Linked DNA regions of Tamandua tetradactyla. The protein of the gene in region 1 interacts with the protein of each later gene in a biochemical or structural test. Links are inferred from orthologs where the notes say so. Each region holds a gene or a part of one and is shown on either strand. Other genes may lie near its edges.

Region 1 (7,309 bases):
ATTTTAATTGTTATATAGCCAAACATATCATTTCAAAATTCTAAATTTGGGATCTGTCTCTTGCTCAGAGAGTAATATTCCCCACTCTGAATATTACAGAATACATTTTCCATATTATAGACTCTTATGGTTTCATAGTTGAGTGGCTTTGGAATTCAACAGATACATTTTTAGTATCTTGGAAATGTTGATGTGGCTCTTTTCCATCATCTATTAATACAGTGAACTCTATGAATAGATTTCCTAATTTTGAATCATCTCTGCAGTCCCGGTCTGAGTTCTCAAATCTGGTATTGGCATTGAGTTCTTTGAAGCTTCTGTCTTGTTCTATTGGTCAATTCTGGGGTATTGCACTGTCGCTTACAAATGAGATCAGATCTTTGTTGTCTTTTCTTTTTCCTCTCCTAAATGTAATGGAGTTAAGCAGGTTTCCATATCAACATAAGGGTGAGTGTTTGCATTTATTTTCCCGCTTTAATGAAAAGGAAAACAGCTCCATTGAGGGAGATGGTGCCAAGGGGTCTTGCTAAAGCAAGACCCCAGCAGTGTGGCAGTAGATTTCCCCAACTACTCCTTGAGGGGCAATATGAGTGCAATATCTGAGCACAAAGTTTGTAGGTGTCAGATCTGGCGCCTTTGTGAAATGGTCTCTCTCTTCTTGGAGCATTCAGAGTACAGTGTGTGGAAGTGCTGAAACTGAAGCAAACCTAACAAAAACAAAGTAAAACAACAACTAAAAAAAACCTCCAACGGTTTCCAAAACTCTTTTCCTTTATTTCAACACAGTCAGACTCCCAGAAAAATTGCAAGAATGGTACACTGAATTCCTGAGTGCTCGCTTTATTAGCTACACCAATTGGATCACCTCTGCTTTGTTTTCTCTCTTTTTCTTTTTCTGAACCATCTGAGTGTCAAGTTTCAGACATTATGTTCCTTCACGTGTGCTACATAGTTCAGCATCTACTTCTATAACTGAGGACATTTTCTTACATCACTTTAGCATAATGAGGAAATTAACATTCAAACAATCCTGTTCACCAATTGGCAGATTTTTTTCAGTCTTCTGCAATTGTCCAAATTATCTTTCACTGCAAAGGAAACCCAGGATCAACTTTGATCACTTGATGAATGTAGCATCTCCTAGGTTTCTCCACTGTGAAGTGACAATTTTCTCCTTCCCTTTGTTATTGACAAGTACCTTGAGAGTGATGTAAACATCCCGTTCCCCTCAAAGTTTTCCTCATTAGTTTCAAGCATCCACTGAGGGGTATTGCATGAATCAATGAATATACACATTGCTAAAGGTGATTTTCTACTTCTACAGCCATGGTTTTAATAAAGGCAGAAGATGGTCTTGAAGTTCCAATTTTTAGATGCTTTCATTTTTGCAAAAGAAACAATGAGTGGTTGGGGGGAGTGATGATGTCTTAATTTTCTCCCAGCAAGTCACAGCTGAAATGATTCTTTTGATTTTATTTCCAGCATGGAAGTCCTGCATCAATCTTTCGGGCTTTTTTAGTACATGCTACCCGGCCAGAATTGTGGCAGTCTTTGGGTTTCCTGTGGGAGCAGATTTGCACAAGGAAAGAAGGGGACTGGTATTGAGGCAGCCTACAATTCTTGATACCTGGTCTGCAGCTGCCTCCTCCATGTTCTCCCTGGGTCCACTCTTGCCCCAGTGAAGACAATGAGATATTATTGGAAAGAAAATTTGATTATGTCAACCTTATGTGTAAAACCGTCCCCAAGGGGGTGAAATGTAACACACTCTTTACATGGCATATATGAAGTTTTGTCCCTTCTAGTACCTGCCTACCATTCCAGCATCTTCTCTTCCCTTTCTGTGCTCCAGCTATAGTGCTTGGCTTATTTGCTAGACTGTCTGCTCTGTCTCCACTGGGCACTTGCACATGCTGTTCCCTGTGCCCAAAACACTTTTCCAGGTAGCAAATGATTGGCTTTTCTCATCACTTTTGGCTGGCTCCTTCTCATCTGCAGATTTCAGCTGAAATATCACTTTCTCATGGAATCTTTCTCTGAGTGAAGACTCCCCACTCCCACGAAAACGCATAATTGTTTAATTAATGCTCTCTTACTAAACTGTGAGGTCTACAAGGAAATGGACTATAATTTTGTTCACTGGCAATCCCGCTTACTTATTATTTGTTGATTCTTCCTTTCAAGAAATATTGATTAGGCGGGCCGCGGTGGCTCAGCGGGCAAAGTGCTTGCCTGCTATGCCGGAGGACCTCGGTTCGATTCCCGGCCCCAGCCCATGTAACAAAAACGGAGAAACAGAATACAATAAAACAAGAAAATGTTTAAAAGATGTTTCCCTTCCTTCCTTCCTTCCTTCCTTCTATCCTTCCCTCCTTCTCTCTGTCTTTCCTTTAAAAAAAAAAAAAAAAAAAAAAAAAAAAAAAAGAAATATTGATTAATCAACAGATATGTCGGGCACTAGGGGTGGAGGTGGCAGTAAAAAAAAAAAAAAAAAATGGCGGGGGGAGAAGATATACCAAACAATAAATAAGAATGCCAGGTAGAGATAACCAGCCATGAAAATAACAGGGGAAGGGAACAGAGAGATGAGGGTGAAGGGAGCATTTGCAGCGCGTAGTCAGGGCATGCTCTCTGGAGCAGAGATGTGGAGCACCTGGGAAAGCGTTATAGAAGAAGCAGCCTGGCAAGGAGATGTGACGTTGGCATTTGGGAATAACTGTGGGCCCAGCCATTGACAAATTAATATTTGTTTAATAAACGACGGGAAGAATGAATGTCCTGGGCCTAGGGTTGGGCTGGGTGCTTCCCCTTGTGTCTCGGCTAACTTGGCATGCAGGTATCCACAAACCCATCATACCAGACCCAGAGATTGTCCCCCGTCCGAGGTCTCCCATTGCATGAAGGGGTGAGCCGGATTCCCAGTCTGCTTGGGCTTTCCTATCTGCAAGCCGACCTCCCTCTCCTTCAGGAGGGTGGGTTGGCCATTGCCTTGTCCCCTCGGTGAAAAACCTTGCGAAACACTCAGATACACATGGACTTCGGGTCTGCATGTTGAAAATTGGGGGTGTCCACCTGCGTCCTTGTCTGGGGCCTTTAGGCACCCGGACTGTTGTGTTAGGAGCCTACACACATTGTCCCAGGTGTCATTTGTCCAACTTGAGTCATAGGTGTCCAACTTGAGCCAGAGGCCGCGCCGAGGCGCAGGGGACACGGAGTACGCGGAGCGCACGGGGCGCGCAGGCACGTGGCCGTCCCCTGGGGCCTGCCGGGGCATCCGCCGCGGGGCAGGGGGGCGCGCGAGGCCTGCAGTCCCGAGCGCCCTACTGCGCAGGTTGCAGGAGCCGGGGGTGGATTTGGGGCACACGAGCGCGCAGGGACAAGCGTCGCGCGGGCGGGCGCAACGAGGGAGGTGCTCGCTTGGGCTGCACAATTTAAGGGAGTGACCAAAACAAAAAACAAAAACGAGTAACAGAGACAAATGGGATTTAATGCACTGCTGAAAAAACCAAAAAAAAAAAAAAAAAAAAAATCCACGCTTTTAAAGAAAGACAGCATCCGAGGGGCACCTCCCCCCCGCTCCCCTTCCTGCCCACACTTTGTCCCTGGAATCTCTGGGCCGTGGGGGGCGCCGAGGCTGGAGCAGGGTGCGGGGGGTGGGTCAGGGCGCCCTCTCGGTTGGGGCGCGCCCGGGCCCTGCCGCGCGGGGCCCCGAAGAGGGCGGGCTGCCGGGGGCGGGCCAGGGCGGGGCGGGCCGGGCCCTCCCCCTTCGCGGCCTCCGCCCCCCTCTCCCGGGCGCCCCGTCCCTTCCGCGGCCGGATCCGCGCCGCCTTTTCCCGCGGCCCGCACGGGGCCCAGCTGACGGCCGCGTTGTTTACGGGCCCCGAGCAGCCCTCGCTCCCGCCGTCCGCCAGCCCAGGTGCCCGCCCGCGCGTCCCTCTGTCCGTCCGCGCGTCCGCCGACGGCGGGGCCCAGAACGCTCTTGGCCGAAGGTGCCGCGTGGAAGTCCGCGCCCCGAGAACCCCCCAGCCCCACCCCGAGCGCGGGGCCGGGACCCGAGTGGCCTGGAGGGCGGGGAGCCGGGGCGCCTGGTCTTCGGAGCGGCCGAGGCCCGCGCTCGCCCCTCCCGGGGCGGTTTCCAGGGCCCTCCCGGGGCGGGTGCCGCTGCCCGCGGGCCGCCGGCGTGGGAGAGAAGGACGCGCGGGCCCCGGCGCCTCCCGGGCGGGCCGTCTCGGAGCATGCACCCCGCGGGCCGGCGCCGCGCGCTCTGAACCGCAGCAGGACCCCGCGCTCCCGCGGCGATGGGCGCAGGGGCCGGGCGGGGATCGGCGGGCGCGCCGCTGCTGCTGGCCGTGGCCGCGCTGCTGCTGGGCGCCGCGGGCCACCTGTATCCCGGAGACGGTGAGTCTGGGGGCGCCGGGGCGGGCGGAGGGGCCCTCACCGCCCCCAAAGGAGCCGCCCCCGCGGGGCACCGGGTGTCCCCGGGGGCGGGGGACGCGCGGGTGGCCCGGACGGCCCCGCGGGGGGCTGGAGGCCGCTGACCTTGGCCTTCGCCCGCCTGGGCTCGCGGCCCCGCGCCCCGCTGTTGCGAGCCCTGCTGGGGAGGCACCTTCCCCCAGTGCCCGCCCCGCCGTGGGCGCCTCTCCCCAGCGCACACCTCGGACCCGAGCCTGGCCCCCCTGCTTGCCCAAGGCGCCCGGGAGGCTGGACGCGCCGCGTCTTCGGGTGGCCCCGACCCCTCGGGGTCACAGGGTTTGGGCGGCCTCGGACGGCCGAGTGTTTTGAGTTTGGAGCCAAATCCCGGGGTGCCGGGCCGGGAGGTCCCTTGGGGTCCCCGCTGGTGGGTGTCACTGCCCGAGGCGGGGGTGGGGGAATTAATTGGAGGACTTTCCCTTTCTCACTTCCTAGAGTCTGGGCCGGTGGCTACATTTTACAGGTCCCTAGTTACACTTTTGGGTTCTAGTTACACTCCTTCCAGATGTGAGGAGGCAAATTCTAAGAACCGGCTGCAGTTGCAACAGGAGTAGTGGCAGTTTTTATCAAGATTCTTCTAATTAGTATCACCCTATGCCACGGGCTGGCCCATCTTATCTCTCTGGACCCTCACGGTGGCCCCTGGAGACTGATAACTGTTGTTCTCAGAGTAGGAACCTGGGCTGGGACTCGAACCCCTCTCTGCCAGCTTCCCTCCCAAGGCTGGGGACTCTTTCCCCACCACCCATGTCTCCCCCAACTCCTCCCGCCCCCAGATCTACCCCTCATAAAGGGCTCTCTACCTGCAGTCTTTTTTGGGGGGGAGGGAAATCTCTGGCCTTGGGTGAGCCTCTCACACCCCCCTCCAGGTGTCCCTATGCCTGGAGCAGACAGAAGCAACCCCAGCCCCAGTATCCTTCTCATGCCTGATATTGTCTACTTTTTGAGACTGGGACTGAAGAATCATTTGAGGACATAAATCTAATTTCCCACCATGGGGTCTGAAGCCCTGCTTTAAAAATATCTGAGGTTGCTTCAGATTTTTCCATAAAAGGAAATTGATCATGGATGAAGAAGGGGTCTGGGAGGGAAGGAACAGAAGAATCTCCTAAGTGTACTCGGTGTTGAATGAGGTGGATGAGAAAGCATAGGCTTTGGAGTTGGCCAACCAGGTTTGTTGAGCAGCTCTGCCACTTAATGTCTGGGAGTCCCCAAAGGTCAGGGATGCAGTAGGTGCTCAGTGAAGGGTGGCAGTTGGTTTGAGTTCTTGGTACGAAAAATCCAAGATGAGTTGTTAAACCCATGCCAGGCTTCTCGCGGGCATGCATAATGTGCACAGCCTGCATATGTGTGGTTCCCTACTCTTCTGTTCCTTGCAGTTGTTCTGTGCCTTGGGCTTCCAGGGGTCAGCTGCTTATGTATTTACAGCTTCCATGGGGATCCACTGGGGCAGGGGCTTTTGTCTGTTTCATCTGTGCCCGGCGCGTGGTAGATGTTCAGTAAATATTTATTCCTCAGTGGGACTAGGCACAGTGCGAAGCTCCTTTGTAGTTGGGTTGAGGAGCTCCTTCTCCTCCTGGTTATACTAACTACCAGTTCTAAGAGTAAGCACATGCAAGGCACAGTGCTCCATGCTTTGCATGTATAATCTCAGTCAATTCTCACTGCTGCTGGTGAGGTAAGGTTTTTCATTCCCTTGTGGGGATGATTTGCTGAGAACCACTGAAAAAGCAAGTGGCAGAGCCACGATTAGAACTCAGACTGGTCCGGCCCCAGGGCATGGGTTTCTTAACTAACGGCTGTTCTTTCCTTAACTAGTTCCTGTTGTGGGTCCAAGCCTCCCCCACTTCTGCCCTGGGATAATGTTGAACAAAACATTATTCTTTCAAATAAACGAGAGCTGAACCCCCTTGAAAGCTTGGGTGGGTGAGGGGGGGGGGCAAGAAACTTTCCAGAGCATTAATTTCTAAAGTCGGCCAAGATGACATTTTGACTGGGGTGGGGCAGATCACCCAATCTAATGTGATTTTTAAGGAAGGAAGGACTCTTTCTCAGAGGTGTCAGTGGAACTGCAGCGCCCCAGGTTTTCCGAGGAGTTGTTGCTGCACTGAGCTGGGTGGTGGCTTTTTTTCCGCTATTGCCATTTGGATTGGATGGTTCTAACCAAGATTACTTGCCAGCATTGCAGGAAGAGAATTAAGAATTAAGAAGTCTTAACTAAGAGAATTAAGATTTAAGAGAATTAAGGTGCCATGGTATTGATTAAAGTGAAAACCTTCAGAGCTTTCCATAGTAATCGAGGTGTGAGACGCTTGTTTCTCAGATACTCCTCACTTCTCAGCTACTCTGTAATGAGGGACCGTCATGAGCTGCTTCTCTTGGGTGTTTGGTAGTGAAAGATGTTCCGGGACATCCCCTGCACCCTTGGAGTGGTTATTCCAGATCTTTGCTTCACTCCTGGAGACCTTCCACTGTCTCCTGCCCCACTCACTCATAGAGACCATGGGGACGCTTCCTAAGGTCCCTGTGTTGATTTCCATGTCCTCTTCAGTTGGAGTAGGATTTCTCAGCCTAATATTCTTGACATTTAGGACCAGATAATTCTTAGTCGTGGGGTGGGTGGCAGAGGGGGCTGTCCAGTGCATTGTAGGGTGTGGACCAGCCTCCCTGGCCTCTATCCATTAGATGCCAGCAGCACCAACGCCTATCCCCAGCCTTTACAATAAAAAATGTCTCCAAACATTGCCAGATGTCCTCCCGAGGGGTGGAAGGCAAAATTGTCCCAAGTCAAGAGCCCCCCTGCATTAGAGGAGTTAACTTTTCTTTGTCTAAGACTCCT
Region 2 (7,215 bases), on another chromosome or scaffold:
GTTTACACTCTGAACATACGACTGACTCTTTACATGAAAGACAAGGCACATATTTTCTCATGAGCCCATGCAATTCCGTGTTGGTTTAACGACAGCAAACGTGCAAATGCACACGCATCCTTCCCAGCAGGCACAAAGCAAGTACAGAAATCCCTGTAGTGAGTTTTCAGAGTTTTGACAGTCTGGCAAACTAATTTTAATACAAACTAAAAATACATTCTATCATTGTGTAGGCTTTCTCTTCCCACGGCAGCTAAGAGCTGGACAGAATTCCAAGGAAACAGGTTAAATTATAACACCTTTAAAGCATTAGGTTTTATCAGATATACAAACTAAGAATTTTATAGCTCTGTGATGAAGCTGATGGCACAATAGATGTCTTTGTTCTAGCAGGAATATGATTTCTATACATTGTAAAATCTCAGATCTGGGCGGATCATGGAAATCCAATATCCTGAGCTTGCTCTCAGATTCTGACTTTGCTCTTCTCTTCCGATGGAGTCCGGCACAACACAGGTCACTATAACTGGACCAGGGCTGCCCTAGGTTCTAATCCTGGACCCACCATCAGAGCAAAGTCCTGTTCAATAACTGACAAGAAACTACCCAGCCTGGGGGGCCCTGGCCCACAAAATGAAAAGTGTTTTGACCAGTCCAGGGCGGCCCCAAAAGCGGTACATACCAGCAGTGACACACAACAGAAGACCTGAAAGTTATACAGCTTTTCTGTTTTAATTCAAATAAACATAACTACTATATCAAACTCACAACTTCATGGGTATCAAAGTTTCTGCCGAATATAAATGTGTATCTAAGAGTATTAAGCGAACCGATTAGAAGAAAATACTGATGGTATGATAACAGAGCAGAAATTTTGACTACTGGGAGCTGCTGGACAAAATGCTGGCCATGGGTCCTTCTAGTTCTCCTTGTGTGTGACTGACCAAGCTACCTCCTCCCTGCCATTTCTGCTCCAGAGGTGGACATACCTGTGTAAAAGCATAAAACCCACAGGACTAAAAAGATGCCACAGCTCAGGGTCTGTTGACAGCTCTGTCATTTGCTGGCCCTGCAACTTAGGTATATGGCTTAACCTCCTGAGACTTTGTTCCCATACCTGCAAAATGAGGATCAGGAGGGCTGAGGAGGGAATTATAGGCAGCAGGCTTTTGAAAGTGTACTTGTAAACTGCAAACTGCTACAGAAGTATCAGTCTCTATACTTCTCAGTTACACAAGCAAAGCCTGCTGGGTGTGTAACTCTGTCTGTCCTCAAATTCCCTCCCTGTAATCTGGGGATTGCCCTGTGTGACCCTTCTCTTTCAAGTGCTCCCGGTGAAACTCAATTATTATGTGCAGTAATCCTAGAGCTCTGATTTTTAATAGAAAAAGCCAAGCATCTAGAATCATTCCTGGAGATACCTTAGGTTTCAGGGTTTTGCCTAAATAAAATACTCCCCCAAAAGATATTTTCTAACAGCCTTGAGGCCAGAACTTTTCCTGCTACTGAAACCTAGGTTCTACCTATTTTTCCTCCGGGGGTGGGGGTCAGGGGTGGGGGTGGGGCAGGAGAGGGTCTCTAGGTTCATTCCTATAAAAAATTACTAGTATTGTGCTGTAAACTCTAGTCCATGCACTCACAACATGTGTTCTTAGTAAAACTGAGCGAAATTTTAAATGCAGCACCATGTCTGAAACACAGGGGCTCCAAACGGCTGAATCAGCATTTTCAGAAACAAAGTGTTCTGGGCCAGGCCTCTTAAAACAGCAGCAAAGAGAAAAGTTGTGCAATAACGCAGATTTACTCACGAGCACTAGTTGTTTTGGTCTTTTCCTTGCATCTCTTGAATGAGACTGGGTACCACGGTTGCAACAAAACATTATTTTTTTGCATCATATGATTTTGGTGCATCATAAAGATACAGGACCTTGTAAAAGTTACCTGTGGCTCCCCCACATTACCCAAGGTTTCACGCAAGGCAAACGGCAAAAAGTTCTTCGCGTTTCTTCCAATCCCAAGAAAAGAAAAACAAAATTAAAAAGTAAAGAATACACTAATTTCCATAACGCACATGCTCAAGTACTCTCACCAGGCAGGCCAGGCATTTGGAGACGCCATCAGAAAAGGCGGAGCATTGCATCAGAAATTTCCTTCTACAAACGGTACCGCTCTTATCACATTTCCACGGCTGGCGGGGCGGCTAAGCCGCGGGCCCTCAACTTGATGTTAGGCCCAGCAGTGGGTAACGCGGTTATTAACAAAACCCCCAAACCAGAAAACAATCGCCTTCGGGCTGGAGCCCGGAGGCTGGCCGCGCTTTGGACTTGAGAATGTCCAGGCACGGATCGCCCCGGGCTGCCCCGGCCGCTGGAGTCGCGCGGCTCCGTACACAGTTGGAAAAAAGAGGAGAGGAGGTTCCAGCAGCGCCTCGGTGCCCAGCGCGTCCCGGAGCGGCTCCCCCGGGGACAGGGGACAGTGGTCCCCACCCCCACCGGCGAGCAGCTCGCGTCTGACAAGATGGTTCAAGAATGCACCGTTTGAGCTCAACATCTCCCCCCAGGGGTCGGGAAAGGAGTCGGGAGAGCCCTGGGCAGCGCGCCCCGCCAGCTCCGCAGCGCGCTCGCCCGCATCCCCACAGCCAGCCTTCGAATTCCTCGGGCTGGGGCTTGGGGCGACAAAGCGCCCGGCTCGCAGGCGACGCCCTTCCGCCGCGCCCCGCCCGCCGTCCCGGGGCGCCCACCGTCTCTGGCCGCGGCCGGCCAGCACGCAGACAATGACCGCGACCGGCCGCTCCGGCGCGCGGGGACCCTCCAGGCCGCCGGCGTGCCCGGGCCTCCAGCGGCGGGCGCCCAGCGACAAAAGTAACTTCCCCGCCGTGCTCCCGACCAACTTCTCGGCGCGCGGCCCAGCCGCTCCGTACCTGCTGCGGGAGCCGGCCCCGGGGTCGTCTCCGCGGGGCTGCCGGCGACACTTCGCCCGGTCCGGGGCACGGCGCGCAGAACGGTCACCCCGGGCGGGTCCGCGAGCTCCCGCCGCCGCCGCGGGTAGGTTGCGCGCAAACTTTGGGATTCCGACGCCGCCTGTGCCGACGCTGCTGCCTCCGGCTCTCCGCTGGCCGAGCACGGTCCCCGCCCGCCCCGGCGCGCACCCTCCGCCCAGCCCAGCTGCCTGCGGCCCCGCGCCCGCTCTCTTCCCTTCCTTCCTCCCTCCCTGCCTCCCCGCCCCCCTGGATGGGCTTTAAACTCTCCCAGCCTCGCCCGCCCCGCCCCCGCCTCCTCCCCCAGCCGCCTTTCCTGCTCCGCCTCCCGCCGCCGCCGCCGCAGCCCGGACCGCTTGGCGGCGGCCACCGCGGGAGGAGCCGCGGTCTCGGCCCAGGGCGTGGCACGCAGGGCTGCCCGGGCCGAGCCGGGGAGGCGGCCGCAGCGGGCCAGCCTCTTTCCCCGAGGCTCTGGCAGCGGTGTCCACGCAGTGCCTGTCCCGGGCGGAGCGCGATGGGAAAGGCAGCTGCAGATGGGCGCGCCTGGGAGTCCAGGTCCGCGGGCGGGAGCGGGACCCGGGGAGCCCAGGCAAGAGACAAATCCGATCTGCTCCAAAAGGCAATTGCAAGCGATTTGAAACTCTGTAACGTCCAAAACTTTTATCCCGGGGCGCGTCAGAAAAACTAGACCGATGGAACTGCGGCTTTCCGAACTCTGTCTTGGGGCTGGTGATCCCCCGGCCCGGGAAAAGGAACCTGGTCGTCCAGTGTGAGCTCATAGGCAGCCAGGTCTGGGGCCTTCACCTCTCTAGCCAAAGTTTTCCCCTGTGCTTGTGAGTATGGGAAGGCCCTGCAGATACTTCCTGAATGCCGGTCAGGCTCAGTGTCATTATCTTTGAAATGGTTAAATAAGAACCCCCGCTGAGAATGATGTCCTGGGGCAGAGAGGAGGTAAAACTTTAACTTACAGTGACTAGCAGGAACAATGCCCTGAATTAATGGAAACTATTGTCCTTACTACTGTGGAGTCAAAATTATAATACAAATAGGATAATAATAATTATGCCTTTCTGGGCTTTGATGTTATAAAACTAGCTACAGTAACTTACCTTTATGGAGTATGTAGTGTATGCCAAACATTCATTAATCCTCTTACCTATTCCCCACCCTTGCCTTCTGTGGTTGCTCCTTGAGAAATACCCACTATACAGACTTGTAAACAGTGTGATTTGCCTGAAGGTCTCGTGGCTAGTGAACTGCAGAGCAAGGATTCAAAGTCCTCTATTGTGGCAAAGCCCTTCAGAAGCACTTCGGAATCATTCCTTCTTTCTAGCAATGTTTTTTCCCCAAGATGCTCAGATGAAATCAATAGAAAGGCCAACCTTTCCTGTAACTGAAACGAGCCTTCCTCTGATTCCCTCCCTATAAAACCCTTAAGATGAAAACCAGGGGAGATGCTGTGTAAGGATCTTAGCTTCCTGGGAAAAAGAAACACGAAGAATAATATCATAGGCAAAAGACTCAAAAGGAAATTAAAGAATAAGGAAAAGAAGAGAAAACAAGATTTTGGCTCACTTCTTTCAAGCACACAAGCTTTGAAATTTACGACTTGGCTGAAGGCGCCAATTAGCAATTTTTGCCTACCTGTCAGAAAACTTGATGGACAGGAAATTTTATAAATGGATGAAAAGTACATCTATACGTCTATACATGTATGTACCTTTTCTGAGCCTTTTGTGGGTATGATCCATACACTATGACCCTTTACCCCTATGTACTCTGATGGGTCTTTCCAAAGAATAGGGATATTATCTCAATAACCACAGTACAGTATTCAGATTCTTGAATTTTATTGATAAAATATGTGTATGTAAACTACGTCTATATTCCAATTTTGTCAGATGATCTGATAATGTCCTTTATAACATTTCCCCCCTCCATTGCAAGATTCGTTCTAGGGCCGGGTATTGCATTTAGTTGTCTATGCTAGTTTGAAACTGTTATGTACCTGAGAAAAGCCTTGTTCTTCTAATCCTGATTTCAACATTGTAGGATGGGACCTTTTGATTAGGTTGTTTCCATGAAGATATGGCACGCCCAATTGTGGATGTGATCTTTTGATTAGACTACTTCTGTGGAGATGTGGCACACCCAATTGTGGGTATGGCCTTTTGATTAGATGTTGTGCCAGTTTGAATCTGTGGTGGACCCCAGAAAAGCCATGCCCTTTAATCCTCATTCAGTATTGCTGGATGGGACCATTTTGATTGTTTCCATGGAGATGTGACCTACCCAATTGTGGATATTAACTTTTGATTAGATGATTTCCATGGAGGTGTGTCTCCACCCATTGAAGGTGGAGTAGCTTACTGGAATCCTTTAAAAGAGGAAACATTTTGGTGAGAGTCTCTTTTTGTAGAGCCACAAAAAAGATAGCAAATGCCACCATGTTCATCATGTACCCTTCCAACGGAGAAAGAAACATTGAACGTCATCAGCCTTCTTAAACCAAGGTATCTTTCCCTGGATGCCTTAAATTGGACATTTCTATAGACTTGTTTTAATTGGGACATTTTCTCAGACTTAGAACTATAAAGTTGTAACTTATTTAATTCCCCTTTTTAAAAGCCGTTCCATTTCTGGTGTAATGCATTCCAGCAGCTAGCAAACTAGAACAGATGGGGATTAACTCCACCCATTCAAAATGGGTGTTGATTAATTTATTAGAGTCCTTAAAAGAGCTGATATAGACACAGACATAGAGGAGAGATGCTTGGAGTGCCAACAGAGAGGAAATGCCTACACGCAGGCATTTGGAAATGCAGAGCCCAGGGGATGTCACCTTGTGCCTTCCCATAAGATGCTAAGCTAAAAGATAAAATCCAGAGGTTTTCCCCAGCAGAGCTAAGTGAAGGGCCACATATGCTTAGAGAAGAAGCCACTGGAATTAGGAGCTGGAAACAATGGAACCAGGAGCACAGACCAGCAGACACCAGCCACATGCCTTCCCATATGAGAGACTGGCCTTTCTTTGAAGTCAAGATGTATTTCTTTGGATGCCTTAGTTTGGACATTTTTTAAGCCTTAGAACTGTAAACATAATTTAATAAATCCCCTTTATAAAAGACAACCCATTTCTGGTATATTGCATTCTGGTAGCATGAGTAAATTAAAATATTATCTCAGAACATGGAATTTTAAATATTACTGTTTGTGCTGGTTTGAAAGGATGTATGTCTGCTAGAAAAGCCATGTTTTAATCAAAATCCCATTTCATAAAGGCAGAATAATCCCAATTCAATACTGTATGTTTGAAACTGTAATCAGATCATCTCCCTGGAGATGTGATGTAATCAAGAGTGGTTGTTAAACTGGATTAGATGATGACATGTTTCCACCCATTTGGGTGGGTCTTGAGAAGTTTCTGGAGTCCTATAAAAGAGGAAACATTTTGGAGAATGAAGGAGATTCAAAGAGAGCAGAGAATGCTACACCACGAAGCAGAGAATCCACAAGCCTTTAGAGATGAAGAAGGAAAACGCCTCCTGGGGAGCTTCATGAAACCAGAAGCCAGGAGAGAAAACTAACATGTTCACCATGTGCCCTTCCAGCTGAAAGAGAAGCCCTGACTGTGTTCGCCATGTGCCTTCTCACTTGGACATTCCTATAGACTTGTTTAATTGGGACATTTTCTCAGCCGTAGAACTGTAAACTAGCAACTTATTAAATTCCCCTTTTTAAATGCCATTCTGTTTCTGGTATATTGCATTCCAGCAGCTAGCAAACTAGAACACTGTTCATTAAGTAGGGGTGAAGGTAAATAGCCTCAAGTGCTTTCATGCTGACTTCAATCCCCAGAATTCCTAGGACAGGCCCTCAATCCCCAACTCTCCAGGCTCCCAGAAATATCTGGGCATGCCTCTTCCTTTCTGGCCAGGATTCATTCAGGATAACTTTCTGACACAAGTTCATGTGTCTTGTCACTCTTGTGGCTGTACAAACTGCAGTTGTCCCCCATGTGGCAAACCTGACTCAGCCAATCTTACAGGAAGGTTGTACCTTAGTGCTTTCCTCTGCCTCAAACTCCAAATGTCCATTGTGTACATGCTGCCTCTCAGAAGATGGAGGCTGCCATAGTTTCCCAAAGAGGAAGAACTTCCCTGAGGGAAAATATATCTGCTGAAACAGTAGGTGTCAGGAGAGGAAACAAGATTTTTTGATATTTGATATTTGGTATT

Evidence for each region.
Region 2: the proteins of INSR (region 1) and GRB10 form a complex in vitro, tested with the Homo sapiens proteins (5 studies listed by BioGRID and IntAct). The link is inferred for Tamandua tetradactyla from reciprocal best matches to the Homo sapiens genes INSR and GRB10.

What each region holds. Positions count from the first base shown.
Region 1 is NC_135337.1:83,573,326-83,580,634, reverse strand, and holds the start of INSR (insulin receptor), read left to right. Parts: upstream 1-4,272; 5' UTR 4,273-4,298; coding exon 4,299-4,398; intron 4,399-7,309. UniProt on the Homo sapiens protein: Receptor tyrosine kinase which mediates the pleiotropic actions of insulin.
Region 2 is NC_135327.1:73,042,575-73,049,789, forward strand, and holds the start of GRB10 (growth factor receptor-bound protein 10), read right to left. Parts: upstream 3,016-7,215; 5' UTR 2,921-3,015; intron 2,649-2,920; exon of another isoform or gene 2,072-2,648; intron 1-2,071.